7 linked regions of the Oryctolagus cuniculus genome follow. The protein of the gene in region 1 purifies or fractionates together with the protein of each later gene. This does not show direct contact. Links are inferred from orthologs where the notes say so. Each region holds a gene or a part of one and is shown in the gene's direction. Other genes may lie near its edges. The genes, in order: MORF4L2, EPC2, SIN3B, RBBP7, PHF12, histone H2B type 2-E and ASH1L.

Evidence for each region.
Region 2: the proteins of MORF4L2 (region 1) and EPC2 purify together in Homo sapiens (affinity purification with mass spectrometry; 5 studies listed by BioGRID and IntAct, counting the BioPlex papers as one, with this or other methods). This does not show direct contact. The link is inferred for Oryctolagus cuniculus from reciprocal best matches to the Homo sapiens genes MORF4L2 and EPC2.
Region 3: the proteins of MORF4L2 (region 1) and SIN3B purify together in Homo sapiens (affinity purification with mass spectrometry; 5 studies listed by BioGRID and IntAct, with this or other methods). This does not show direct contact. The link is inferred for Oryctolagus cuniculus from reciprocal best matches to the Homo sapiens genes MORF4L2 and SIN3B.
Region 4: the proteins of MORF4L2 (region 1) and RBBP7 purify together in Homo sapiens (affinity purification with mass spectrometry, with the first as the bait; 3 studies listed by BioGRID). This does not show direct contact. The link is inferred for Oryctolagus cuniculus from reciprocal best matches to the Homo sapiens genes MORF4L2 and RBBP7.
Region 5: the proteins of MORF4L2 (region 1) and PHF12 purify together in Homo sapiens (affinity purification with mass spectrometry; 9 studies listed by BioGRID and IntAct, counting the BioPlex papers as one, with this or other methods). This does not show direct contact. The link is inferred for Oryctolagus cuniculus from reciprocal best matches to the Homo sapiens genes MORF4L2 and PHF12.
Region 6: the proteins of MORF4L2 (region 1) and histone H2B type 2-E purify together in Homo sapiens (affinity purification with mass spectrometry, with the first as the bait; 3 studies listed by BioGRID). This does not show direct contact. The link is inferred for Oryctolagus cuniculus from reciprocal best matches to the Homo sapiens genes MORF4L2 and H2BC21.
Region 7: the proteins of MORF4L2 (region 1) and ASH1L purify together in Homo sapiens (affinity purification with mass spectrometry; 5 studies listed by BioGRID and IntAct, counting the BioPlex papers as one, with this or other methods). This does not show direct contact. The link is inferred for Oryctolagus cuniculus from reciprocal best matches to the Homo sapiens genes MORF4L2 and ASH1L.

What each region holds. Positions count from the first base shown.
Region 1 is NC_091453.1:89,766,188-89,770,462, forward strand, and holds the start of MORF4L2 (mortality factor 4-like protein 2), read left to right. Parts: upstream 1-1,475; 5' UTR 1,476-1,588; intron 1,589-2,672; 5' UTR 2,673-2,710; intron 2,711-4,275. UniProt on the Homo sapiens protein: Component of the NuA4 histone acetyltransferase complex which is involved in transcriptional activation of select genes principally by acetylation of nucleosomal histone H4 and H2A.
Region 2 is NC_091434.1:93,573,965-93,577,906, reverse strand, and holds the start of EPC2 (enhancer of polycomb homolog 2), read left to right. Parts: upstream 1-1,142; coding exon 1,143-1,295; intron 1,296-3,942. UniProt on the Homo sapiens protein: May play a role in transcription or DNA repair.
Region 3 is NC_091447.1:65,116,988-65,120,487, forward strand, and holds part of SIN3B (paired amphipathic helix protein Sin3b), read left to right. Parts: intron 1-657; coding exon 658-1,249; intron 1,250-1,458; coding exon 1,459-1,628; intron 1,629-1,945; coding exon of another isoform or gene 1,946-2,458; exon of another isoform or gene 2,459-3,222; intron 3,223-3,500.
Region 4 is NC_091453.1:3,028,796-3,033,030, reverse strand, and holds the start of RBBP7 (histone-binding protein RBBP7), read left to right. Parts: upstream 1-1,435; 5' UTR 1,436-1,798; coding exon 1,799-1,814; intron 1,815-2,640; coding exon 2,641-2,785; intron 2,786-4,235. UniProt on the Homo sapiens protein: Core histone-binding subunit that may target chromatin remodeling factors, histone acetyltransferases and histone deacetylases to their histone substrates in a manner that is regulated by nucleosomal DNA.
Region 5 is NC_091448.1:44,437,125-44,441,285, reverse strand, and holds the start of PHF12 (PHD finger protein 12), read left to right. Parts: upstream 1-1,361; 5' UTR 1,362-1,953; coding exon 1,954-2,019; intron 2,020-2,665; coding exon 2,666-2,847; intron 2,848-4,161.
Region 6 is NC_091438.1:48,064,846-48,068,835, forward strand, and holds histone H2B type 2-E, read left to right. Parts: upstream 1-1,386; 5' UTR 1,387-1,440; coding exon 1,441-1,821; 3' UTR 1,822-3,490; downstream 3,491-3,990. Other genes in the region: histone H2A type 2-B, read left to right, coding at 164-556; histone H2A type 2-C, read right to left, coding at 717-1,106. UniProt on the Homo sapiens protein: Core component of nucleosome. Nucleosomes wrap and compact DNA into chromatin, limiting DNA accessibility to the cellular machineries which require DNA as a template.
Region 7 is NC_091438.1:43,090,552-43,094,051, forward strand, and holds part of ASH1L (histone-lysine N-methyltransferase ASH1L), read left to right. Parts: intron 1-1,203; coding exon 1,204-3,500. UniProt on the Homo sapiens protein: Histone methyltransferase specifically trimethylating 'Lys-36' of histone H3 forming H3K36me3. Also monomethylates 'Lys-9' of histone H3 (H3K9me1) in vitro. The physiological significance of the H3K9me1 activity is unclear.

The sequences.
Region 1 (4,275 bases):
CATTTCAGTAAGAGTAACTCCACTTTCACCTTATATATTCACATCACCATAATATTTTATTTGGGGTAGGGAGGGGGAGCAAGGGAAGAGCTTATTGCTGCTTTAAAAAAATTTGAGAAATGAAACTACCATCAGGGCTGGCATTATGGTGCAGCAGGTAAAGCCACCATCTACAGTGCTGGCATCTCATATGAGTACTGGTTCAAGTCCTGGCTGCTCCACTTCCAATCCAGCTCCCTGCTAATGCACACAGGAGGGCAACAGAGGATGTCCCAAGACTTTGGGCCCCTGTACCCATGTGGGAGGCCTGAAGGAAGCTCCTGGCTCCTGGCTTCAGCCTGGCTCAGCACTGACAGTGGCAGCCATCTAGGGAGTGAACCAGCAGATGCAAGATCTCTCTCTGCCTCTCCCTCTCTGTCTGTAAGCCCTTCTGCCTTTCAAATAAATAAATAAATCTTTAACAACAACAACAACAACAACAAAACTCTATACCATCTGTAACTGTCACAGGTAAGCCATTTAACCAGTCAAGGGATGTTACAAGTGTATTATTCGGCTAGTATTCTAAGAGGACCTTGCTGTTTGAGAACAGACTAAACTGAAGGACAGCCATGACAAAGGAATATAATAATTGGATATCATGTCTAGGTCTAAGACCCTCTTCAAATTATCAACCTACAGAAACACGAAATACTTGTCACCCTACCTCTCCTTACACTTACTATCAATGCCTGGCTGAGGCCTCTAGGCTTATCAGTTCTCAGTTTAATGCTAAAGACAGTCCTGACCATCAAAGGACAAGAATGCTTGGGACCACTGGTCACAGCAACACATTTGGTATCTTGACTGCATTTAACTTTCAACACTAATTCTTCTATATAGAAATAAAGAGGTGGCCCTTTGGCTGGTGCCGTGGCTCAACAGGCTAATTCTCCGCCTAGCGGCACCGGCACACCAGGTTCTAGTCCCGGTCGGGGCGCTGGATTCTGTCCCGGTTGCCCCTCTTCCAGGTCAGCTCTCTGCTATTGCCCGGGAGCGCAGTGGAGGATGGCCCAAGTGCTTGGGCCCTGCACCCCATGGGAGACCAGGAGAAGCACCTGGCTCCTGCCTTCGGATCAGTGTGCTGCGCCAGCCGCAGCACGCTGGCCGTGGCAGCCACTGGAGGGTCAACCAACAGCAAAGGAAGACCTTTCTCTCTGTCTCTCTCTCTCTCCACTCTGCTTGTCAAAAAAAAAAAAAAAAAAAAGGTGGTCCTTTTAGAAACCTAATGAATCATGGGATTTCCCATAAGGTAAGTGGGTCAGCAGGTCACAATGTCCCAGAATTCCAGAACCTGGCATAACAGAGCTGGGAGGGCCTTCCCAGATCATTTCAGTCTTGTCGCTTCATCAGACAACATGGGGTATTGAGGGTCCGAATGGGCAAAGCCCAGACCCTACTTGTAACCTCCTTTTTCCATTAACTCATTTGTAGCTGTGAAAGGAAAAATAGAATAGAAAGGGCAAGACTAGAGAGACTAGAGTATTATCACTTATTAGCTCCAGAGGCTCACTTCTTCGACTTCCTGAACTGAGACTCAAGGCTAAAGGTAATCTTCATCAGAGGAAACTGTTCCTATAATGACTATTCAGTCCTGAACCTCTTCCTTGTCTGTCTTTTGACTGATACCCAGGTTCAATTATCATAGTCCCCATAGGAAGGGGATAGCCAAATCTTGGCAGCAGGATCATATTACAAAAATAAAATGGTCATGCCAAGCTCCACATCCTATAAATTTAGGGTTTCCTCCACTAGAGTTTCTTTGTGAATTCCTTAGACTTATACTTCCTTTAGCCCTAGCTGGTATCATCATTTCATTGACCTAAGCTGCAGGTTGGTTCTTTCAGAAAGAAGAAAATGCGGTTTCTCATTAATTATCATTTTTTCTATATTTATAATTAATTATATCTTATAATTATAATCCACTATTCTAATGAAATGTACTACACTGATTTTGGAGTTCAACCTTTCCTATCCTATTTCATTAAGATTTCAAATTCCAGGTATATAACCCTCTTCATCCAGGGCCCTCAAGAGACAAGAACAACAGATTATGGAAATGAATCCATTATCTTCTTTCTGCTACTTATGTAACCTCTCTAATATCTTAGTGGTGGATTCATGTTTAGGGTAAATGATTAAAGAGAGAGAGGAAAGGTAAAAACAAATTGCTATAGCTTTAAGATGTCACTGATTCCATCCGGATGGTATTCCTCAAGCAAGAAATATCCAGTGAGGACTGCAGCTACAAAATTGTCTCCATTTCCTCCCTTTGTCTTTCTGTGGGGTACGGGTGGGTGCACACTGCCTCTATGACATCTTCCAACCAAATGAACAATTTTACATGTGGACATAAGCACATTTGGCCATAATGTCAAAATTCTGGTTTGAAGAACCAATAAGCAAATTTCTTCTGTTTTTAGAGGAGGGGTTGGGGAGGGGAAGAATCAGGAAGGGAGAGTACATGAGTCCACAAGATAATGAGAAGGCTAGGGTTTGGGGAAAGCTAAGGTTAGAACTATCTGGGTTTTGCTTGATTATTCATTTTGCTTTGTGTTTTCAGAAGTCAGTGTTCTCTCATGAGTTCTTCCTCTCAAAATTGAAAACTTTTAATGTTTTCCCTTCGCATATAGGTGGAGGACCAGTCCTTGAGACCAGCTTTCACCTGCAGGTGCGTCATCTCCCTTGGATTCATTCACAAATTATGGTGGAGTAGCTACCACAATAGGAACTGTGCTAAACACACAGTATACACAGTTAAGAAGAAACTTAGCACTTAGCCTCATAGATCTTGTATTCTAGCAGGGAAGACAGACTTGGACTAAGTTCCTGGATGATAGTGAGATGGAGAAAACGGGGTGGGGGGGTGTTGTGGAAATACGTAAGAGGGACACTGACCTACTCGTGGCCCAAGTTGGGGAGGGAATGTCTAGAAAGGCTTCCCTGAGGCAGACACATTTCAGATGTGACCTGAAAGAAAAGGAAGAAGCAAAGCAGCAGGAAGGACCAAGGAGACAAAGGAGAAGGAAAGTGCGAAGTGTAACAGAGCTTTGAAGAGGGAAGTGGTATAAAAGATTCTCATCTGAAAAAAAAAATCTGACCGCAGTGTGGAGAACAGATTGTAGGGAAACCACAGTAGGTCAGCAGGTGAAAACAGTGGTGTCTTGCAAGGAGGCGTGTCACAGGTGCTGAGGGAACAGAAAGCAAAAGCACTTAACTAGAGGCTGGGCATCAGGGAAGGGCTCCGTAAGGAAGTAACATTCCAAGTGAGACTTGCAGGCTGGGTTCGCCATGGTGAGGGAAGTGAGGGAGTGAGGAGTGAAGAGAGGCCCGGACACTAACCTTCTCCTTTAACCAAAGCAGGTCTCATTTTCACTAAGGACCTCGTCCTGGTCTGGAATGCCTGGTACCTTTTCTTCCTAGCCAAACAGTGCCTATGTTTCTACAGCCCTCCCCAGTGCCAGGTCCACTGATGACACCCCAATACGACTTACTGTTCCTGCTTATAAATTTCTATTCCATACGTATTGCTAAGCATTAAAGATCTACTATTCAGGGTAGTTACTTAACTTCACACAGATTCACATGTAAGCTACTTGGATTTGCAAACTCTTTTCTATTACTTTAGCATCATCCAGGGTATCTAGCACAATGAGGGACTGTGTGACACAGTCATTGAATGAATGAATGAATGAATGAGGCACTAGAGTCTCTGCAGACCTCCTTTAGATATTCACTATTATCCGTGAAGCTAATAGGAAAGGGATGTACTTTGTGTAAAAGATTCCTACAACTTGCATGCGAAGACCTGAGATCTGAAATTGACTATTCCTTCCCACTGGTCACTGCTTCTCACCCCCTTGCAATCCTGGTCCCCACCCCGCCCCCCCAACCTTCTATTGTTTCTTCTGTCTTCTGGTTGTCAGCCAGGATGAGAAAATGGTCAAGCTGTCCTCAGAGACTTACGCCAGCCTGGGCTGCTCTGCAGTGCCATGAAGGGCCAGGACTTTTGTTTACAGCTGGGAGCATGGCGAGGCGGTGAGCACAGCTGACAGCCCCACTCTGGGGCAAACATCAATCTTCCTCTGTCCTCTCAGCCAAGTCTCACAGACCAGCTTTATTGAAAGCTGGCTGCACCCGCCTGGGCTCACTGATGTCCCACCCACAACTCGAGCCTGGGAGTAGCTGGGTGAATCTCAGCTTTGTACCTTTTAGGAACTGCCCTTGCTCTCCTCT
Region 2 (3,942 bases), on another chromosome or scaffold:
TCGCAACACAGCGGAACACACACACACATCTGCCGCTTCGGAAACGTGTGCTGCCTTGGTCAAACGTCCTAAGTTGAACTTTGACGACCCCTGCTATTTTTGAAATCGGAGAAATATCTATCATCCACTAAATAACTCAAGTTTGAGGGACAGGTTCAAGTTCACTTGTTGCATTCGGCAAGCCTCCATCCAGCGCCCTCACGGCTGCCATGAGCATCCTGCCCGAGCAGGCGAGGACGAGAGAGGATGCCATACCTTGGAGAGCTCTTCCGGACAGGTACTGGAGGGCGGATGCGGAGAACAGGGGCTGGGGCGCCTAAGCACCCTCAGAGCCGGCGAGACGGTGCAGAGCTGCGCCCCTCAGAGCGGGCCGAGGGGACCGCCGACCTTTCGCACCTCCCAGAGATGCCCGGAGCGCTAAGCATAGGCTCCGGCGGTGGCTGCTGGGGCCCTGGTCGACATCTATTCCCGCTCACAGAGTTCTGCACACGGGCGCTGCTGGGCGCGGCCGCCTTTTGCCCGGCGCCTTCCTCAGGGGCACTCAGCGAGCCCGCTGACGCCGCCGCGGAAGGCAGAGGCACACGCTTTGGGGCGCGGGTGAACTCGCGCACCTGGCACCTGCCACACCGCGGGAGCGCCGGCCAGTGAGCCGAAGGCGCTGCCGCCGCCGCCGCTTGCCGCCCCCTCTCCCTGGAGCGGCCCGAGGCCGAGCACGTTCCCGTGGGCCGGCGGCGCGGCGGAGAGAGTGGGTGGGCAGGCGAGGGAGGGGAAGGGAGAGGAAGGAGGGAGGGAGGGAGGGAGAGGGCGAGGCGCGTCCCCGCGGCGGGGGCGCGCTCTCGCGCGGGCTGCCGGGATCGCTCGCCGCCGCTGTGGTAATGTCCGCCATGTTGGCCATGGCGCAGGGAGCGGATCGGGCGGGCGAGCGGCGGATCTAGTGTGTGGAAGCGGCCGCGGGCGGCGGGGGGCTGTTTTCGGGCGGGGTGGGCGCCCATGCTGTGGCCGGGGGCAGTGAGGAGGAGGAGGAGGAGCGGGCCGGCCGCGCTGCACTGAGGAAGGAGGTGGAGGAGGCGGCGGGAGTCCTCCCCCCCTCCCCGCCCGCCCCGCCGCCGCCGCCCGGGCTGTTCCTGTAAGGCGGGGAGACAATGAGTAAACTCTCCTTCCGAGCGCGGGCGCTGGACGCCGCCAAACCGCTGCCTATCTACCGCGGCAAGGACATGCCTGATCTCAACGACTGCGTCTCCATCAACCGGGCCGTGCCCCAGATGCCCACCGGGATGGAGAAGGAGGAGGAATCGGTAGGGACTCGAGTGTTTATTACCCCCCCTCTCCCTCCTCCCCCCTCCCCTTTGTCAGTCGGGCCTCGCCATTCACAGAGCGCTTTACGCTCGCTGGAGGGCGCCGCTGTCGCTCCAACGCATGGGACCCTACGCTGGCGGAGTAGCGTAAACCCTCTCGGCCGGCGCAGCGCCCGCCCGCGGCCGCCATGTTGTTGCGTCCCAGTGTTGTGATTAGCTCGCAGCGCCGCTTACGCTGCCGTAAGGGGGCCTTGCCGTAAGCGGCGGCCGGGAATGGCGCAGGGGCTGCGCTGGGCGCACTTGGCGTACGGCCTCTGTTTACCTTTCAAAAAAAAAAAAAAAAAAAAGTGTCCGCTGGCACGGGGTTAGTTAATAGCGAGGGTGTCTTTGGCTGGTACAGATTATGCGTGTGCGTGTCTGTGTATAGTTCCTTCTAGTTTTAAGTTTGGTTTAGCATTGAGTGCTGTTTGAAATGACTTACGGAAAGTAAAGCGCTTTCAAAACAAACATCTTCCCCCTCCTAGGAAGGGAATGTCGCTGCCCCTACCAGGGCTGCTGCAGCGAGTGCGGCCCTGCGGAGGGGAAAGGGCCGAGGCCTCGACTCCCGAGCGGGACGCCGGGTTAGCCAGCTGGAGCCGGACGCGGGGTGCGGGGCGCGGGGCGCGGGGCGGGCGGGCTCTGCCGGCGTCGCCGGTGCGGCCTCCGCTCACTGCGCCGCGTTCGAGAGGAACCGGGGATGCTCGAAACGAGCCGCCGGCGCGGCGCTGTCCCGGCGCTGTGACCCCGCGACATGGCCTTGGTTGGAGGAGGGTGGTCCTTTTGGAAGTAGAGGATTTACTGCATATAAGTTGACAGCTGTGTTTTTGATTATATGCCTTGTAGCATAAAAGCTGTTTCCCCCACCTCTGGGTTAAATTTTGCATAAGGTTGAATTTTGCTCTGGGTTGACAGTGTTTATGACTCTGGAGTGGTGTTCCTTGCATGCGAAGTTCATAGTAACTGCACCTTCAAGAATTTCTTCAATGAACCCACGGTCCCGCCTTATTGTCAACCTCGGGTCTGTGTGGATTGGTTCTCTTGCCTCTGTGACTGTCAAAAGAAAGCTCTAGGTTTCCGTGATTGGTTTTCTCTTTTGACTGTTAAGATTGCAGGAAATGCTTTTATGCCTTTGATTGGCTGCTTGAGTTCTGACCTCATTACGTTACCCTGCTATTACTACTTTCCTCTGTGATTTTAATCACATTTCTCCTTGGTGTTTGATCACCTGGAAGTCTTACATTTTCAGCAGAAAATGAATATAGCTGTGACATCAGGATGCACGATCAGTTTTTAAAATTAAAAAGTAAATAGGATAAAAGCCCAAAATTTAAGCCTAAGGTTTAGAGCTGAATGAGAGAATTTTGTTTTTTTAAAATAAAATTTGGTCCTAACTAAGCTCAGTTTTTCATGGGAAAGATAATTGAAATAAGAGGATAATACGTATTAGAATTAATTGATGAACTTTAAAAAAACTGGGGCCGGCGCTGTGGCACAACGGGTTAACGCCCTGGCCTAAAGCGCCAGCATCCCATATGGGCGCCGGTTCTAGTCCCGGCTGCTCCTCTTCCCATCTAGCTCTCTGCTGTGGCCTGGGAAAGCAGTGGAGGATGGCCCAAGTGCTTGGGCCCCTGCACCCACACAGGAGACCCGGAAGAAGCTCCTGGCTTCTGGCTTCTTCTGATCCGCGCTGCTGCGGCAGTTGCGGCCAGTGGGGGAGTGAACCAGTGGATGGAAGACCTCTCTCTCCTCTCTATTCTCTCCTCCTCTCTCTCTCTCTCTCTCTCTCTCTCTCTCTCTCTGCCTCTCCTCTCTCTGTGTAACTCTTTCAAATAAATAAATAAGTCTTTAAAAAACAGAAACAAAATTTGGAAGTTTTTGTTGGTTTTCAGGCTTAAAAGAACCAGTAGTGGGGCCAGCGCTGTGGTGTAGCGGGTAAAGCCAGCTCTCTGCTATGGCCTGGGAAAGCAGTGGAGGATGCCCTGCACCCGTGTGGGAGCCCGGAAGAAGCTTCTGGTTCCTCGTTTCGGGTCTGAGTCTCCTGTTGTGGCTGTCAGGGAAGTGAACCAGCAGATGGAAGAGCTGCCTCTGTCTCTCTGTCTCCCTCCCTCTCTCCCCCTCCCCCTCTTCTCTGCCTCCCCCTCTCCCTCTCTCCCCTCTTTGCTTCTGCCTCTCTGTAACTCTACCTTTCAAATAAATAAATCTTAAAAAAAAAAAAAAAGAACTACTAGGGTACAAAATTACTTGGATCCTATTATTTTAGAACCTGAGTCAGAAAACCTGTTCTAGAATGAACAGTTAATCCCTGGAAGGTACATTACTTTTTGCAGTCAGCTCCTACTTGGTCTTAAGCTTGTCACATATGTTTTATTATTTTAATTTAGGAGAAAACTTGCAGATTTTTAAAATGTTCTTTTAAAAATAAGCACTTAACAAGCCCTGTCACAGTTTGGTCATTAACTTTTTTCAATAAAACTTGGTTTTCAATCCAGAGCATTAGTGCTTGTATTCTTTTTAGAAGTCTGCTTTAACTGCTCAGTTTTAAGGAAGAAGAAATCCAGATTTGGATAGAACCTGAGTTGATACTGAGGACTTTTCTCGGTCCTATTCT
Region 3 (3,500 bases), on another chromosome or scaffold:
GTCCCCTCTGCCCGCACCCGGGAACCTTCCTCTGTGGTTTTAGCGGTGGGGGAACTGAGGCACGGAGGTTGCTCCCTGCCCAGGTCAGTCGCAGGTGCCCGGGGCCCCAGTCAGGAGGCTGAGCTGGGCCCCAGGGTCTCAGGGCCCCAGAAGCGGGAACAGCCCCTGTGAAAGGGGGGCCCGGGGCTGCTCCTCTCGGCAAGCCCAGGCTGGCCGGGCCGCCGAGAGCTAGAGGGAGACCCGGCCCTGCCCTATGTGTCTCTCTGCCCGGTACCTGGGGGCTGGGGCCCCCCAGGAGAGCCTCCAGGTGCCAGGAGGGGGGCGGGGCTGGAGCAGCAAGTAGCGCCGTCTGGGTCGGGAGGATTCAGGGAGGAGCGCGCCCGGGGTGTGGCTTTCCAGGGAGCAAGGGCAGGTGGCACGTGCAAAGGCCCTGGGCACCGCACCTGGCAAGAGGGCGCACGGGGTGCGCAGAGACCTGGGCCAGGTCTGGGGGGTGCTCGGCGGGGAAGCCACCTGGTGGCCAAGTCCACCTGGACCCCGAGAGTGGGCGGGGGGGGGGGCGGGGTGGGAGCAGGGAGGAGGTGCGGCTTCCGGTGCAGCTGAGCTGGGCTGGGGGCGGGGGAGGCGCCTCACGCGGGCCGTGCCCTGTCGCCACAGCACCAGGAGCAGCACTCTGAGGGCCGCAGCGCGCCGCCCAGCGAGCCGCACCTGGTCTTCGTGTACGAGGACCGGCAGATCCTGGAGGACGCGGCGGCGCTCATCAGCTACTACGTGCAGCGGCAGCCGGCCATCCAGAAGGAGGACCAGGGCACCATCCGCCAGCTGCTGCACCACTTCTTGCCCAGCCTCTTCTTCTCACAGCAGCTCGAGCTGGGCGCCGACGAGGAGTCCGCCGACGAGGAGCGCGACGGGGCGCCGGGCGCTGGGCAGGGCGCGGCCGGGGATGCGGCCGAGCGCAGGAAGCCAGGGTCGGGGTCGGGGCCGGGGCCGGCGGAGGAGAGGGCGGCGGCGGCGGCGGCGGTGGCGCCGCTGCTGGACGACGTGTACAGCCTGCTCTTCGCCAACAACAACTGGTACTTCTTCCTGCGGCTGCACCAGACGCTGTGCGCGCGCCTGCTGCGCATCTACCGCCAGGCGCAGAAGCAGCTGCTGGAGTTCCGGCGCGAGAAGGAGCGGGAGAAGCTGCTGTGCGACGGCCGCCGCGAGAGGGGCAGCGACCCCGCCATGGAGCTGCGGCTCAAGCAGCCCAGTGAGCCGGGGGCCGCGGGCGGGGCGGGCGGAGCAGCCGGCCGGGAGCTCCTGCCGGTGCGCCTGGGGAAGCGCAGGAGGGTGGCCCGAGGGCCTGGGCCCCTGCACCCCCCAGGCAGCCCCCGCGGCGCGCTCTGGCCCTTGGAGGACCGGGGTCGCCCGGGGCCAGGCAGGTGGCGGCCGCCTGCATGCGGGGTTCCCGGCCCGCAGGTGAGGTGGAGCTGGAGGAGTACTACCCGGCCTTCCTGGACATGGTGCGCAGCCTGCTGGAGGGCAGCATCGACCCCACGCAGTACGAGGACACCCTGCGCGAGATGTTCACCATCCACGCCTACATCGGCTTCACCATGGACAAGCTGGTGCAGAACATCGCCCGGCAGGTGAGCGCCCCCTGCTGGCCGCGAAGCCTCACCCCGAGGCGGCAGCGTGCAGAGTCGGGAGGTCCCCAGCGTTCAGGCCGGGCATCCGGGACTTTGTGAGCACTGGGGGGCTGCGGGGCTGGGGGGGCTGCTTGGTGCACAGTGCCCCGGGTGCAGGCGGTATGGATAGAAGGTGAGTCTCCTGTTTATATTCGGGGCCCGCGCCCACAGCTCCTCAGTGTGCACTCGCACACGCACTTCCGGCCTGGAGCATCGTGGGCGGGGGCGCTCACCCTGCATTGGCGCAGTGTGTAACTAGCACCCCCGTCTGGTTGCAGAACGTTCTCATCACCCACCCACCCCCGCCCCCGGACATGGAGACCCCGCGCCCTCAGCAGCCGCCCCCCCACTCCCCCCCGCCCCCCCGCGCCCCGGGCTTCCTGTCCCTGGTGTTGCCTGCTCTGGACGTGTGCTGTCCGCGCAGTCGCGGGCCCTGGGGCACTGTGCGTCAGGCGTTCGAGTTTCAGCCGCGTGGTGGTCGCGGCTGCGGGTGCCTCACTTGGTCTCCGGGCGGAGTGATGGTTCTTTGTGCGGATGCACCGCGGCGAGCGGGCCCAGTGGCCGGGCAGGGTGGGGTGGGGGCCTGCGCTGTTCCTGCGTGCGTGGCCCCCACCCGCGGTGGGGATGTGCGCGGCGGTGGTCCGCGCTGGTTTCGGGAAGCTGGCTGGGGAGGGCTGTGCTCACGGGAGCGCCAGCTGCGGGAGGCAGGCCCCGCCCGGACGCGGGCGCTGCCCAGTTCCTGCCCCCTGTGGTTTCATTCTGCTGGTTGTCAAGTCCGCTGTTCACTGTGAAGCTGGGGAAAACCCGACACGGCCGCAGGAGCATTCTAGGAGGCGTGTTTCCTCCCTTTTCATAAGGTTTACTTGCAAGGCAGAGGGAAAGGCAGGTCTTCCGTCCGCTGGGTCGCTCCCCCAATGCCTGCGACAGCCAGAGCCGGGCCAGGCTGCAGCTCCATCCAGGTCTGCCCTGTGGGTGGCGGGGGCCCGAGTCCTTGACCCCACACCGCTGCCTTCCGGAACGTGCATAAGCAGGAGCCTGGAGTCGGGAACTGGGCCTTGAACCCGGGGACTGGCATGGACTGTGGACGTCCCATGTGGCGCCTGATCCACTGTGACAAATACCTGCCTAATACTAAAAAAAAAAAAAAAAAAAAAAAGGCACCGGTTCGAGTCCCGGCTGCTCCGCTTCCCATCCGGCTCCCTGCCAGTGCGCCCCAGTGCTGGGGTCCTGAGTGACAGCAGGAGAGTCCGGGACTCTGCCTGCCCCGGGCCAGGAGCACAGGCAGCGCGGGCCTCCCGGAGATGAACGGCCCACGGGGGTGCCCGGGTTTGAGTCCCAACTCTGGCTCCCAGGCAGCAGCAGGTGATCCCTGCTCTCCACATAGGAGACCCGGATGGAGAGCCCGGGTCCCGGTCAGCCTGAACTGGTGGCAGAGAGAGGCCCGGTCTGTGCCCTGGAGATCGGTAATAATGGTAGCAGCAGCAGTTGATGGGTGCCCGCGTGCATCAAACCCCGCGTGGCTTGCGCCTGCCCGATGTCCCGAGGAAGACACTCCCAGCCTCCCTGCCCCCGCCTCGCAGGCCCAGCGCCCCGGCCATGTCCGTGGAGATCACAGTGGGGAAAGCATCGTAAACACTCCCAGCTGGGCGTTCGGGGCGTGGCCACCGCAGGGGCCGGTGCTGGGTCCTGCTCCCTGCCCCCTCCCGTCTCCTCTGGGCGAGCGTTTCCACTGGGGTGCTTTGCTGGTCTAGTTGTATCTGCTGTCGGGTTTGGTGTGGTCCAGTCTGGCTGCGGCTGGTGTGGTCTGGCCTGGTTGGTTTTGGAAATGATCCA
Region 4 (4,235 bases), about 87 Mb from region 1:
TTTTATTGGAACATGGCCAGGTTCGTCCATATTCTCTGGCTGCTATTGTGTTACAACACAGCGGAGTCTTGTAGTTACCCTCAGGGCCTAAAATATTTGTTATCTGTCCCTTTTAGAAAAAGTTCACCAGTGTTCTGGAAGATGAGGGCTGAATGTTGAAACACCATTCCAAACCTCTTCTCTCTCTAGCCAGTCCGCACTAACAAGATTCCTGGACCTGACATGGAGGGAGGGCGTTATGATAACGAATTGTATCGTATGGGAAACCAGAGACACGAAACAGTAAATTTCTATATAAGGGCATATGACTGGCTCTGCCACAGAACGTCTGGGTTTGTTACCAGATCAGAGAAGTAGGTACCATAGCCGCGACTGCACACTTGCATTTGAGCATGAAAACACTTGGAAAGCTATCAAGGCAGCAAATGTTCCGGGGGTGCTTCTTTGTAAGGGGAGCCTCGCTGTAGGCTGGCTGTGGACTGCGGTTCTCTGGGCACGTAGGCACCCTGTGGCCTCCCCCTCAACTCCGTGCCCTCCGCTCCAGGCCCTCAAGTTCATTGTCTTCGTTCACCTTTTGGCCTCACAGCCCCCATTCTCCTCACCTTCACTCACTCCTCAGGGACCACGGAGTTCCCAGACAGAGCAGGTAAACAGCCCAGCCCAGCTCATTCCAGCTTCCCTAGCTTGGGGTGGGGTCGCCCTGGGACCCCTGCAGGGAACAAGAATGACTCAGCAGGGGTCAGAGCTGGGACTAACAAAAACGCCAATGGAAAAACAAAATCCCCCATAGCACAGAGGCAGCAAACCAACTTAAAGACCTAGACCCGCGAACAAACGCAAATGTGATTTAAGGCGGCCTAGCGGCCTAAACCACCACAGGCCTCACGTTTAACCTAACAGTGGCCCGGCGGCTTCTGCAGGCAGAAAACGCCCGCAGCCTCTCCAAAAGATCCCCTTCACTTCCGAGACACCCTGCCTCGACCTGAATGGTCCCCAAGAAAGGCAGTCAGCTGGATGGGAACCTTTCTGGGGTGCAGAAAATTCCATGTCCGTGATTACTGGGGAGACTTTGAGGGCACAGTAATCTCTCGAGAATAGGAACCATTTTCCTCCCTTGCTCTGAGATTTTGCTTGGCTAAGCGGCGGTAGTCTCCCTGCCCCCCACTCCACCCCAACAGTCGCTGCTGCTTCAAGCAACCACGCCCCGTGGGCCTCAGGGTTCGCCGCCCCGGGGCTCTAGGCCCCCGCGCAGCCCGCACGCCGCGCCTGCATTCGCCCCGCCCCCGCGCTACCCCACCGCCCCCGCGGCCGTCCCTAGGAGCGCCAGGAGAGTCCGCGCGCCTGCGCCGCTCCCACTTCCTGCCGTGGGACGCCCCGCCCATCGCCAGAAGCCCGCCTCCGAACGCCGCGTGAAACACGCCCGTCGTACGTCATTGGTCGAGACAGCGGCGCCGTTGGCTCCCAGGCCCGCCTCTCCACCGCCTCTCACTTTTCCCAGGGCGGTTGCGCCTGCGCTCAGCTGCCTGGGCGGGCTGTGAGGCGCGGGTTGAAAAGTCTCGTTCCAAGTTTGGAGAGAGAGAGAAGAGCGCCTCAGACCTCGGTATCCGTGAGCGAGGAGAGGCAGAAGAGAAAGGCGCAGCGTCTGGGGAAGAACCCAGGCAGCGAGACGGAGCTCAGGCTTTGAAAGCTAAGATTGTGTGACGCGCCAGCGGAAAGGCAGGAGCGCCAGCGGTCGGGCTGCGTTTGTCTAGCGAGGGGAGTCCGAGGAGGCTTCGAGGGGCGAACGACCCGACGCAAGATGGCGAGTAAAGAGAGTAAGAGGCCCTGCGGGGCGGCGCGCGCCGTGGCGGCGGGGGGCGGCGGGCGCGCGAGGCCGCGGCACGCGCCGGCGAAAGGCGCGAATTGGCGTGAGGAGCAGGGGGCGGGGCCGGGCGCGCGCCTTCGGGGGCCTGAGCGGGATGGGACCGCCGCGCGGAGGGCTAGGAATACTTCCGGAGCCGGGCGCGGGGCCGAGGAGTGGGCCCCCTCCCCCCTTCTTCCCGCTCCCCCCCTCCCCGCTCGCGGCTGCGCTCCCTCCGGCGCCCTCGGCCCCGGGGCGGAGGCGGTCTCCGCTGTTCTGAAGCGAGCACGGCGGCTTCTGCGCGCGCACGTCCGCCGCCTCGGGGTCGCGGCCCTTGTCCGGGAGAGGGGGGTTGTGGAGTCCGCCGGCCTATGGCTGCTATCGCCGGCGTCGTGGGAGCTGGGGCCTCTCGTGGCGGGGGATGGAGGGAGCAGGCCGATGGGTTTCTGCTACACGTGGATTTGTCTCCTTGGGTGGGTCGTGGAGCCCCTCTACATACAGGTCGTCATTGTGGAACAGGTGCGAATAGCTGTAACGGGCTAAACAATTCGTGTCCGTGTAGTTAGCCAATTCTGTATACGCAGAAGACAATCTCAAAATGGAAAAAAAAAGGAGCTTCCCGGTGGTAATATTCTCACCACGTTTTGGAAGAGCAGTTAGTTGTTCGTGTCCAAATTAGAGGCAGAAGGAAAGAGTAGACTAGGTGTGGCAATCACGAGGTGACCTCCATGTCTGTGTACAGATTGTTGACTTCGATCCCTCTCAACCACTTAATCGTATGGACTTTCTCCAAATTTCAGTGTTTGAAGATACTGTGGAGGAGCGTGTCATCAACGAAGAGTATAAAATCTGGAAGAAGAATACACCGTTTTTATATGACCTGGTTATGACCCATGCTCTTCAGTGGCCCAGTCTTACGGTTCAGTGGCTTCCTGAAGTGACTAAGTAAGGATTTCTGGTTACTTTTATTTTTGAGTAAATTTATCATTCTGAATTTTCTAGTTTTGGAGTATTTTATGCCTCCAGTTGTACTTAATGTTTGTGGGAAAATGAAATTAAAAGATGTTTATTTTGGTGCAGAAAATCTTGAAATCCACACATAGTTTTTCTATGAATTTTTTTAAGACCCTCCATTGAACATAAGCAGGTAATCAGCCCCTGGAAAAGGTGGAAGGTAGTTTTTATTTTCAAAGCCTAAGTGACATAGTGGATGATTTCTGGCAAGTAAGTGTGATGGTATAAAGGAGGGACGATGTTGTGGGATTAATGACATTTGTAGAAAATACTGGATGTGAATATGTTTTACACTGTTTGGACTTAAATGTAGATTGCAATCTTTCTGGGCTGCAGACTAACACATTTCTTTAAAATTATTGACAAGTAGTATACATTAGAGATGTACAGATAGTTAAGCATTTGGTTTGAATCTTCACATAGTGGATGCACATGTAATCAGCACCCATGATGAGTAAGTTTTAATTGGCAAATGGAAAAAGAATTTTGCAACAGTTCTCCACAGAAAAGGTGTTGTGTTGTTTGGGGGCAGGAGTTACGGCGCAGCAGGTTACACTGCTGCTTGGGATGCCTCTGTTCTATGGCAGAGGGCCTACTTTGAGCCTAGGCTACTCTGTTTCAGAGCTAGCATTCCTGCTAATGCAGCTGGGAAGGCTGCAAGATGGTGGCGCAAGTATTTGAGTCCTTATCACCCATGTGGGAGACTGAGATGGAGTTCTTAGATCCTGGGTCTCACCTGGCCCAGCTCTGGGGGTTGTGGGCATTTGGGGAGTGAACCAGTGGATTAAAGATATGTCTCTCTTTTTTTGTTATCATTCTTGATTTGCCAATGAGGAAATGTCCTGAGAAGTTAAGTACCATGGCCAAGATAATAACAGCTTTGCATTTTCATAGTAGGAATTTGACCACATACTTTAAAAGTGTGTTGCATGTGGGTATTGTGAGAAAGATAGTTACAGAGAGGCAGAGAGAGAGGTCGTCTATCCGTTGGTTCACTCCCCAAATGGCTACAATGACTGGGGCTGGGCCAGGCCAAAGCCAGGAGCTTCTGCCAGGTCTCCAACGTGGGTGCAGGGGCCCAAGCTCCTGGGCCATCTTCCACTGCTTTTCCAGGCCATAGCAGAAAGTTGGATCGGAAGTGGAGCAGCTGGGACTTGAACTGGTGCCCATATGGGATGCCGGCACTGCTGACAGCGGCTTTACCTGCTGTGCCACAGTGCTGACCCCCAATGAGCTTATACTTGAGGATTAAATCAAACTCTAATCCAGGAAGAGGATTTTGTGATTTATAAGCATAAGCTAATTTATATGAAATTACTCTTAGGCCAGATTCTCCATAATACTAACATTGACTTCCCTACAAATGGTAGTTTCTTGTTGG
Region 5 (4,161 bases), on another chromosome or scaffold:
CAGAGAGAGAGAGAGAAAGGGGGAGGGGGGAGAGAAGCAATTGAAAAAAAAGTTTCATTCCCACGTCTGCCATAAATTCATTATGCGGCCTCTCTGTGCCTCTGGAAAGACGAGAATGAAATCAGATGGTCTCTCGGCCCCTCTCAGTTTTATGACTCTGAGAATGCGTGTGCCGTAACATTAGACATGGGCAGGACACCGCTGTCAATCATGCTACTTAAACGCCCACTTTTAGGCACAACGATGCGGTTCCCTTCTTCACTGCTTCATCTACCGTTGGGCAGCAATAACTGGTCACCTCTGCGGGCAATAGCAAGGGGAAGGGCGAGCGCCCTGGAAGAGAGCATGCATCCCCGCCCAGAATTCGAGGTGAGGCCCTAAGACTACAAATCCCAGCATGCAGCACGGAAATTCTCAAAAGCATCTTCCCGACAAGCGAATTACTCCTTTCCTTCCTTCCTACAGTATAGTGCGTTTCAAGCTCACGGAACTACGACTCCCACAGTCCATCAGACCCATCGCGATGCTTGCTCCCAGGGTGCCATGCGCTCCCGTCCGCCCTTTTGGACCCCCTGCGCATTGCAATCTGGGAGTGGGAGTCCTCTGTGGGCCGGTAGCTGGGCGTTGTCAGGGATTACAAACTCTAAGCCTCTTGAGCAGTTCTCAGAACGGTGGTCGAGAGAGGGTGGTAACGGGCAGGCGGAAGTCTCCATGGTGCCATCACCACGCAAGGCAGGGATGCTCGTTCTAAATTTAATTGTCGGGAGCAGGAGGGAAGTGGGGACGGCAGCCACCCAGCCAAAGCGTCGCTTTCTGTCGCACTGGCTTTTCTTTTCTCTTTATCAACATGGCGGCCTGGTCCAGCCACACCTGACGCTGGAACCAACTGTCCAGTCCAACACCTCTATGAATACTGCCATCACCAGCAGCCTACCAGCTCTGTCCAACATTCCTTGCCCCTTCCTGTTCATGCTTGAGGACTACAAGGACACGGCAGCCCTTATCCCATTACTAAAATGGCGAAAGGAGCAGCTTTCTTTGAGGGCCTGCAGGTGACGATACGCCTGCGCGGGAGGCGGTTGTGTTATGGGGCGGGAGGGGAGCATCCCCAACACGCCTGCGCGGGAACAGAGCCCTCTCGGTCTGCACACAAACACCAATGGATGAAGAGTCCTCGGGTTCCTGCGGCTGCGCTGTGACCCCTAGGAGCTTCCTCAGGCGCCTGCGCGAGACCTCGGGTCCCGCCCTTTTATCTCAGTACGCTGGCGCAGGGCAGGAAGGCGGGGCTCCGGGGCTCCAGACGAATGCCAGCGCGGCTGCGCGCTGGGGGGTACCCCCTCACCGCGGCTGCGCGGGAGCCCGGCCGCCGGCTGTCACTGCGGTTGCGCGCGGCGAGCGGCGATCCCCGGGCGCCTGCGCGGGTGGCTTTGCGGGCGCTCGCGGTAAGTTTGCGCCAAGTGCGCGGCAGCCGGGACGCAGACGGCGGCGGCGGCGAGAGGCGGAGCCCGGGGACCACCCCCCATCACCCTCCCCCCCAGTCACCTCACGTACCACAACCTCACCTAACCTCTCACCCCCCCCTCCGATCCCCCTAACCCCGGGATGGCAGCGCCCGCCAGCCTTCCCGGCCGGACCAGCGGTCGCCAGCGCCGGCTTTAGCCTGTGGGACTAGGCCCCGCCGAGGCCTGACCCCCGGAGCCGGGACCCACTGTGCAGCCAGCCGCCGGGCCGGGGCTGAGGGGCCGCTCCCCCCTCACGGCCCGCGGGGAGGACGCTGCCGTCCCAGGGACTGGGGGCCGGGGGGTGGGGGGGAGCCAGGGCGAGGAAGTCGGGACCCGTGTTGGGAAAAAAGAAGGGGAGCCGGGGTCAGGAGCACCCCCTCCCCCCGCCTCCCCCCTCCCCCCGGGGTTGGGGGGGCCGGAGCAGAGAGCGCCCAGCCCGGGAGGTGGATGAATGTGGGAGAAAATGGAGACCAAGACGATCGTGTACGACTTGGACACGTCGGGGGGGCTGATGGAGGTAAGAGTGGCCCTCCTCATCCCCTTCCCCCAGCGCCGGGAGGGAACCTCCGCCCTCCGCCCCACAAAGCCGGCCTGAGCTCGGAGCGCCAGAGGGCCAGGGGAGGGGGGTTTCTTCCCTGCTCAGCCTCTCCCTCCCATCTCGGCGATTCGGGGGGCTGAGCTCAGCCGCCGAGGACGTTTGCAGCAGTTTCACCTACCCGCCGCCCTCGATTCGCTTTCCAGAGGCGCCAGCCCACTCCATCGCGTTGCACCGGCGGGCCTCCCCACCCCCTTCTTGTCGGCCCCTTTGTGCTTCCTCCCGCACGTCCGGGTACCGGGCTTCGGGCCTCTCCCGAGCCAGGCTTTGGAGTCCCCCACTGTCCATACAAGGAAGTGGCGAGAAGGGAACCGCGCACCCTCTCCCCATCCCCCTACCCTGATCCTCCCCATTTGGAAGAAGCTGCGCTCGTTGTTGTGCTGCAGAAACGCGGTTGGGGTGGGCTCCCCCTGGTTCCGGGGGCTGAGCGGTTCTGGGAGCAGCCTGGATGGGAGGAAGAAGGACAAAAGGGGGGAGAGGGGTGGGTGACGGAGTAGCCGCGCCGGGGGGTCGACGGGCCGCCCGGGAGCTCCGAGTGTGCACACACGCCGTTTGTATGTGTGTGCAGCAAATCCAAGCTCTGCTGGCTCCCCCCAAGACGGACGAGGCGGAAAAGCGGAGTCGGAAGCCTGAGAAGGAGCCGCGGAGAAGCGGCAGGGCCACCAACCACGACAGCTGCGATAGCTGCAAGGAAGGTGGAGATCTCCTGTGTTGCGACCACTGCCCGGCCGCCTTCCACCTCCAGTGCTGGTAAGGGCTGGCCTCCTCTCGAGCCCCTCGGCGGACCGCTCTCCGCACATTCCTTCACCTGGCCTGCCCCTGCCTGCCGAAATAACGGGCGCCTGCAGCCGCTAGCTGACTCTCTGCAGCCGCTGGGGCGAGCGCCTCCCCGCCCCCAGGTGTCTGCCGGGATCTGGCCGTTTCGGGGCGGGGGGGGGGGGGAGCGGCGGGGAGGAGCAGCGTCGAGCCCGGACCCCGAGGTGGGGGTTGGGAGGAATGAGGAGAGCCCCATCTGGGATTGGAAGTCGCAGGGGAGCTGGGACCGAGCCGGCCGGGCACGGCCAGAGGTGGCGGGGGAGGAAGGGGAGGAGCTCCGGGCCCAGAGCCGCTTGCCTGCCCGCGCGCCCGCCGCTCTCGGGGCTCCTGCCCGGCCGGGCTCTCCTCCGGGTGGGTGCGCGGAGCCCTTGGCCGCCCGCGCTGCTCTGGTGCAGGCCCCGCTGCCCGGCGTTTGCCGCTGTGGAAGAAACGGAGAGTGGCTCGAGTCGGCCTCTTCTTTGCCTCTCTGTTTACAATATGGCGACCTGCCTTTAAATTATATTTTTATTCTCAGCGCCATTTTGGCTGCATATATGATTTGCAAACGTCTCTTGGAGAACGGTGGGGGCAACTCCGGAGTCCTTTCTGCAGAAGCTCCTCGAAGGCCGGGGCTGGGATCTCGCCGCTTTGGTCCCCTTTCTCTGCCTCCGTTTGCCCCCTGTTGCCTCTTGGAGCTACTTCCCCCCTCCGCCGCAGCCCCCCCTCCCCACCGCTGCTGCCTCTTAGGAAATCGGGCCGGGTTAGACAATTAAAATTGCCCTTGGGCTGCGATTTCACTTCTCCTTCCCGGATCGAGGAGCCCTTGGCCGCAAAATTCTTAGCTGCAGGGGTAGCCTTGTATGCGATGGAGCCAAAAAGGCATTTTTAAGGAGCTGAGAACTGGAAAGCTGTGCGCTTCCTCCTCCCCCCCCCCCCCGCCCTTACTGAACGCGAGGGGAGGGGAGAGACCCAAGAGAGTGAGGGAGGAGGGACCTGGGTTGATCGCCCGCTGCTTGATCCTCCTCAGCAGCTCAGCCCAGAACAATCCGGTAAAGAAGAGTTTTGAAAATCAGAGCTTCTGCCTGAGAGAAGTCACCTCGCTGCCTTCCACTAAAATCCCGCATCTGCGCATCCAGCCCAGATTGCGTCTGGTTCTACTGGGTCGTGTTCTGTTTGGCGGGAAGAAGGGGGCTGTGCTGTGTGTTCCTACCCGGTTTTCCATGGTGCCTTTTTTTAGTCCTGTTGGCGGGGGGGATTTTTTCCTCTTTA
Region 6 (3,990 bases), on another chromosome or scaffold:
CAAACCGAAAGGCCGAGTGCCGCTTTCCTATTGGCTGCCGCTCTCGGCCAATAAAACTGCCTCCCTTCACCCCTCCCGGTAGCTCTTATAAATTACATCAAATTGCCTATCCTTTCCATAGCCTCTCCTAGAAAAACAAGCTGAAATCAGGTTTTTAGCCGTCATGTCTGGACGCGGAAAGCAAGGCGGCAAGGCGCGCGCCAAGGCCAAGTCGCGGTCATCGCGCGCCGGGCTGCAGTTCCCCGTGGGCCGGGTGCACCGGCTGCTGCGCAAGGGCAACTACGCCGAGCGCGTCGGCGCCGGCGCCCCGGTGTACCTGGCGGCCGTGCTCGAGTACCTGACGGCCGAGATCCTGGAGCTGGCGGGCAACGCGGCGCGCGACAACAAGAAGACGCGCATCATCCCGCGCCACCTGCAGCTGGCCGTGAGAAATGACGAGGAGCTCAACAAGTTACTCGGGGGTGTCACCATCGCGCAGGGCGGCGTGCTGCCCAACATCCAGGCCGTGCTGCTGCCCAAGAAGACGGAGAGCCACAAGCCTGGCAAGAGCAAGTGATTGATTAGGCGTGACACCACTCCCGTCCACCCAAAAGGCTCTTTTAAGAGCCACCACAGTGTCAAGCGGAGGGCTGATAACAAGCAGCGCGTTAGCTCTTTCTTTGACAACTTGGGTGGCTCTAAAAAGAGCCTTTGGTCTTTGGTTCAGGTCGTCAAATTTATTTGCTTTTGGCTTTGTGGCTTTCGGTTTTCTTTGGCAGCAGCACAGCCTGGATGTTGGGCAGCACGCCGCCCTGCGCGATCGTCACCTTGCCCAGCAGCTTGTTGAGCTCCTCGTCGTTGCGGATGGCCAGCTGCAGGTGGCGCGGGATGATGCGCGTCTTCTTGTTGTCGCGCGCCGCGTTGCCCGCCAGCTCCAGGATCTCGGCCGTCAGGTACTCGAGCACGGCCGCCATGTAGACGGGCGCGCCGGCGCCGACGCGCTCGGCGTAGTTGCCCTTGCGCAGCAGCCGGTGCACCCGGCCCACGGGGAACTGCAGCCCGGCGCGCGACGACCGCGACTTGGCCTTGGCGCGCGCCTTGCCTCCTTGCTTGCCACGACCAGACATAGTTAAGAAAAAGAAACCAAACCCAGCTAGGGCGCAGAACCTCGCAACAAAACAAGATTGAAAGGAACCCACGAAGAAAGCCTTTATAAGCTTCCCTGGGGGTGGGGTCAGGAACGAGCTTTTCATTGGTCCTAATATGGCTTCAGAAACAGCCAATAAAGTCGAGCTGTTGTCATTACGCAGGCTTTTACCGAAAACGCAACTTTCCTGCACGGACCAATGGAAACGAAAGCCATTTTGATTCCTAATTTGCATAAGATGGTTATAAGAGGATCAGGCCCGCCCATCCTCTTATTCCTTTTCCCCGCTGTATCGCGTTGGTGTGGTGTTTACCATGCCCGAGCCAGCCAAGTCCGCGCCCGCGCCCAAGAAGGGCTCCAAGAAAGCTGTCACCAAGGCGCAGAAGAAAGACGGCAAGAAGCGCAAGCGCAGCCGCAAGGAGAGCTACTCCATCTACGTGTACAAGGTGCTCAAGCAAGTGCACCCCGACACCGGCATCTCGTCCAAGGCCATGGGCATCATGAACTCGTTCGTCAACGACATCTTCGAGCGCATCGCCGGCGAGGCGTCGCGCCTGGCGCACTACAACAAGCGCTCGACCATCACGTCCCGGGAGATCCAGACGGCCGTGCGCCTGCTTCTGCCCGGCGAGCTGGCCAAGCACGCCGTGTCCGAGGGCACCAAGGCTGTCACCAAGTACACCAGCTCCAAGTGAGGCCCTGCCGTGCCGCTAACCCACAAAGGCTCTTTTCAGAGCCACCCATCTGATCGGGAAAGAGCCGTGTTCACATAACGTCCCCCCTTAGTCCCTTCGCACAAGTAAGTTACTGCAGCCCAGACGTAGTGGGGGTGGAGTACTTGGCATTCTCTAAGACGTTCCGACCCCGAGGTTCCCGGCGCGTGATTGGACTTGCGTTGAGTGCCAAGTGCGTCTTCACTCCTAACAGCGGCGATGGCCCGCCCCTACCCCTCTGCGTTGCGGCAGTGGCCGGGCGGCTTTGTTACACACGCTGGGCCGTCTTAAACTCGAGTGGCTGATTGCAGCTATTGGTTTAGGAAGACTGCAGGACACAAGTAGGCGCGTCCGGCGGCCGCTGTGTACAGCAGCAGCTTAGCACCGGAAGCGGCGGGGTGGCCAGCTCGGCGCGGGGAGGGCTCGGCCTGCGGGCCTGCGGGCCTGCGGGTGACCGGTGCTGTGCTCTGGGGCGGAGCCCGCGCCGCTGAGGGTCAGACTTTTCCTGATTGGGCGGCATGAATATTCAAAATTCGCGCCACTCGAGAATTCTTAAAGACTTTGTTTTCCGCCTCTGACGTTGTAGCTTGGAGAGTCCTAGGATTCCTTAAGTCCGTAAATGATTTTTGCATTTAATGCTCTGTGCTGGGAAGCCTGCCCCAGGTCACTGCAAGACACGGGTGGTTTAGCTCGGGGATTAAGAACCGCTGCCAGCGGCATCCGCTCAGGAGCCTGCCCTTTGGCCCTGTCTGTTGTGTGTTTTCATCTTCGTCCACGCAGCTGGCTGAAATTCGCTGGCTCATTTGCTTTCTCGTTAATGGTCTTTCTTCAAACCGGGACAAAGGCCCTGCTGGCCTGCTTTTCCTCCGTATCTTCAGCGCCCATCAGTGCCTGGCACGTAGCGGACACAAACGGCTTGAACCGATATCGACGGATTCGTTTTTCTATCCCGCCAATTTCGTAATCGCTTCCGTGGGTGGGGGGTGGGCGCTGTTTATTTCCATCAGATGTGAAGATACGATGAAGATGGAAATGTTTTTGTAGCTCCTTGACCAAATATGTCGTTAATCACCTCGGTGCAACTGCTTTGGGGCGGGTGAGGGGTGGGGGGAGGCCTGGTGCCAAGATTTTTTTTTTTTTTTGCATCGGGAGGAGGCGGCAGTAGCGGGTCTTCCCCGCAGGCTCCCCGCTTTAGGGTGACCCGTTTTAGGTTTCCGTTCAATTGAGAGCAGTGGTCAGCGAGAAGAGCCTTCACCCTCTGTTCACACTGGGAGGAGCTTTCAGTTCATCCCCACCAACCCGGCTGCTTTTTCAGGAGGCCCTAACAAGCAGAGCAGACAGAGCTGCAATATCCCTCACACAGCGAGCGCTGCTTTTGTCTTCTGCGATGTGATCACAGGTGTATTTTGGTCGTATCTGATGCAATTACGCAATACCGAATCTTCCTGTCCGAGCCTTGATGGTGCCAGGGGAGGTCCTGAGTGCTCAGTAACTGGACTCTGCTCAGGGCTCCTGGAGTTGATTGCAAGGGTTTTGTGAACCCAGATGTGCTCCACATAGCAAATCATAGGCTGAGATCTTGAGCCTGCTGCGCGTGTGCTTTCAAATCTGTGTAGATGCTGTTATTAATAAAGTGCCCAACTCATTTTAAGGCTTTGCTATATCCTTTTATCGGCCATATATGAAGTGAAATTGACAGGGACAGTCACCACTGGGTACATGTGTGGAAAGGGTGGAGAAGGAATATTTAGAAGCCGTCAGCTAAACTTTTACCCCAGATGGGCAATGGGGCTGAACCAGGCTGTCACAAGGCTTTCCGCAGTCCTTGCAAAATACGTGAGCATGAAGAAGAAGCACTACAAACAACGTGGAAGACATACAGTCCTTAACCAAGGTGGGCTAACACCGACAGACACTTAACATGTGTTCCCGATTCATGCACAACATTCTCTCATTCTCACAAGAGCCTCCTAAAGTAGGTAGACTTGTCATCTCCCACTGGACAGGGAGGGAAACTGAGCCACAGAGCGGCCTTTCCTCAGAAACTCACCAGAGAAAAAGCTCCTTGTTTAGTGCTAAAAGGATGTAAGAAAGCAGGGCTGCTCTCTGAGAACCTGGACTCCTCCCTGGATTAGGGGGGAAATAGCTGTG
Region 7 (3,500 bases), on another chromosome or scaffold:
TACTCTGTCACAACACCAACTCCAGTATTAATTTTAAATTGTTGGATTCGGTGCTATGGCTTAGCAGGTAAAGCAGTGCCTTTGATGTGCCAGCTGCTCCACTGCTGATCCAGCTATCTGCTAATGTGCCTGGGAAAAGCAGTGGAAGGTGGTTCAAATGATCTGCTACCCATGGGGGAGACATATAGTGTTCCAGACTCTTGGCTTCAGCCTAGACCAGCCCTGGCTGTTGCAGCCATCTGGGGAGTGAACCAGTAGATGGAAGATCCCTCTCTCTTGTCTATCTAATTCTGGCTTTCAAAATAAATAAATAAATCTTTTTAAAAAACTTTTCAATTATCTTTTCTATCCTCATACATTTTAAGAAATGACTGCTCTTTCAAGTTCTTTAAGGGAATTTGACTACTCACTTAAGACTATATAGTGAGTTAAAGAAATAGAAGTAGGTCAGAGATTGTCCCATATTTGGTTAGATTTTATTGAAGTCAGTGAGGCAGATAGGCATTAAGCTATTTATTTTAAAAGGGGATCATGGGTTACTATAGCCAAAAATATTTGTTTTAGTTAGTGAAAAGAAAGATGAAAGTGATAAACTATAACTTCACATTTAAATATATCTTAGGGGCTTTTTTTTTTTTTTTTCGCCAGGCAGAGTGGACAGTGAGAGAGAGAGAGACAGAGAGAAAGGTCTTCCTTTTTTCTGTTGGTTCACCCCCCAAATGGCCACTATGGCCGGCGTGCTGCTCCAATCCAAAGCCAGGAACCAGGTGCTTCCTCCTGGTCTCCCATGTGGGTGCAGGGCCCAAGCACTTGGGCCATCCTCCACTGCCTTCCCGGACCACAGCAGAGAGCTGGACTGGAAGAGGAGCAACCGGGACAGAATCCGGCGCCCCGACTGGGACTAGAACTTGGGGTGCCAGTGCCGCAGGCGGAGGATTAGCCAAGTGAGCCACAGTGCCAACCTTGGGGCATTTCTAAAGATCCAGTAATAAATATGGTTGAAAATCAACAAAGACAGTATCTTGATAGCCTCTGTGATAGCAGCAGATGAACTAATATCCCAGGCCATTAGAGTCACATTAGTTCTTTTTAAAGTTCTGTTGTAAATCTTATATCTGATGTGTTGAGTTTGTTGGAATGTAAAGCTAAAGCAAAGTGGTATCAGGTTTACTCTCTGAAACCTTTTTCTTGTTCAAATTTTAGGACCCTTCCAAGTTGTACAAGAAAGCAGGTGATGTTGCAGCCATTGAATGCCAATCTGAAGAAAGCATCCATCTTCATTCACAGGGAGAAAGCACTCCTTTGTCCAAGAAGCTTTCTCCAGTACACTCAGAAATGGCAGATTTTGTTAATGCATCACCATCTACTCTTGTTGGTAGTCGGGATCCTGATTTAAAGGACAGAGCATTACTTAATGGAGGAACTAGCGTAACAGAAAAGTTGGCACAGCTCATTGCTACTTGTCCTCCCTCCAAGTCTTCCAAGACAAAACCGAAGAAGTTAGGAACAGGCACTACAGCAGGATTGGTTAGCAAGGATTTGATCAGGAAAGCAGGCATTGGCTCTGTGGCTGGAATAATACATAAGGATTTAATAAAAAAACCAACTATTAGCACAGCAGTTGGATTGGTAACTAAAGATGCTGGGAAAAAGCCAATGTTTAACCCAGCAGTAGGACTGGTCAATAAAGACTCTGTGAAAAAACTGGGAACTGGCACTACAGCCGTATTCATTAATAAAGACTTGGGCAAAAAGCCAGGGACTATCACTACAGTTGGACTGCTGAGCAAGGATTCAGGAAAGAAGCTAGGAATTGGTATTGTTCCGGGTTTAATGAATAAGGAGTCTGGCAAGAAGTTAGGACTTGGCACTGTGGTTGGACTGGTTAATAAAGACTTGGGAAGGAAATTGAGTTCTACTGTTGGCCTAGTGGCCAAGGACTGTGCAAAGAAGATTGTAGCAAGTTCAGCAATGGGATTGGTTAATAAAGACATTGGAAAGAAACTAGTGACCTGTCCTGTGGCAGGACTGGTCAGTAAAGATGCCATAAACCTTAAAGCGGAAGCACTGCTCCCTACTCAGGATCCACTTAAGGCTTCTTGTAGTGCAAACATCAGTAACCACGAAAGTGAAGAACTTTCTGAATCCCTGAAAGACAGTGCCACCAGCAGAACTTTTGAGAAGAATGTCATTCGGCAGAACAAAGAAAGTGCACTAGAAAAGTTCTCAGCTCGAAAAGAAATCATTAATTTGGAGAAAGAAATATTTAATGAAGGATCATGCATTCAGCAAGACAGTTTCTCATCCAGTGAAAGGGGATCTTATGAAACCTCAAAGCATGAAAAGCAACCTCCTGTATATTGCACTTCTCCAGACTTTCAGATGGGAGGTGGTTCTGATGCATCTACAGCTAAATCCCCTTTTAGTGCAGTAGGAGAAAGCAATCTCCCTTCCCCATCACCTACTGTATCTGTTAATCCTTTAACTAGAAGTCCACCTGAAACTTCTTCACCGTTGGCTCCTAATCCGTTACTTCTTAGTCCTACCACAGAACTAATGGAAGAAATTTCTGAGTCTGTTGGAAAGAATCAGTTTAATTCTGAAAGTACCCATTTGAATGTTGGTCATAGGTCCATGGGTCATAGCATAAGTATTGAGTGTAAAGGGATTGATAAAGAACTAAATGATTCAAAAACTACCCATATAGATATTCCAAGAATAAGCTCTTCCCTGGGAAAAAAGCCAAATTTCACTTCTGAATCCAGTATTCATACAATTACTCCCTCAGTTGTTAACTTCACTAGTTTATTTAGTAACAAACCTTTTCTAAAACTTGGTGCGGTAAGTGCACCAGACAAACACTGCCAAGTTGCTGAAAGTCTAAGCACTAGTTTGCAGTCCAAACCATTAAAAAAAAGAAAAGGAAGAAAGCCTCGGTGGACTAAAGTGGTAGCAAGAAGCACATGCCGGTCTCCAAAAGGGCTAGAATTAGAAAGGTCAGAGCTTTTTAAAAATGTTTCCTGTGGCTCACTATCAAATAGTAGTTCCGAGTCAGCCAAGTTTATGAAAAACATTGGATCAACTTCGTTTGTAGATCATGACTTCCTTAAACGCCGATTGCCAAAGTTGAGCAAATCCACATCTCCATCTCTTGCTCTCTTAACTGATGGTGAAAAACCGTCTCATAAGTCTTTTGCTACTCATAAACTATCCTCTAGTATGTGTGTCTCTAGTGACCTTTTGTCGGATATTTACAAGCCCAAAAGAGGAAGACCTAAATCAAAAGAGATGCCTCAACTAGAAGGTCCACCTAAAAGGACTTTAAAAATCCCTGCCTCTAAAGTATTTTCTCTGCAGTCTAAAGAAGAACAAGAACCCCCAATTTTACAGCCAGAAATTGAAATTCCTTCCTTCAAACAAAGTTTGTCTGTGTCTCCTTTTCCAAAAAAGAGAGGCAGGCCTAAGAGGCAAATGAGATCACCAGTCAAGATGAAGCCACC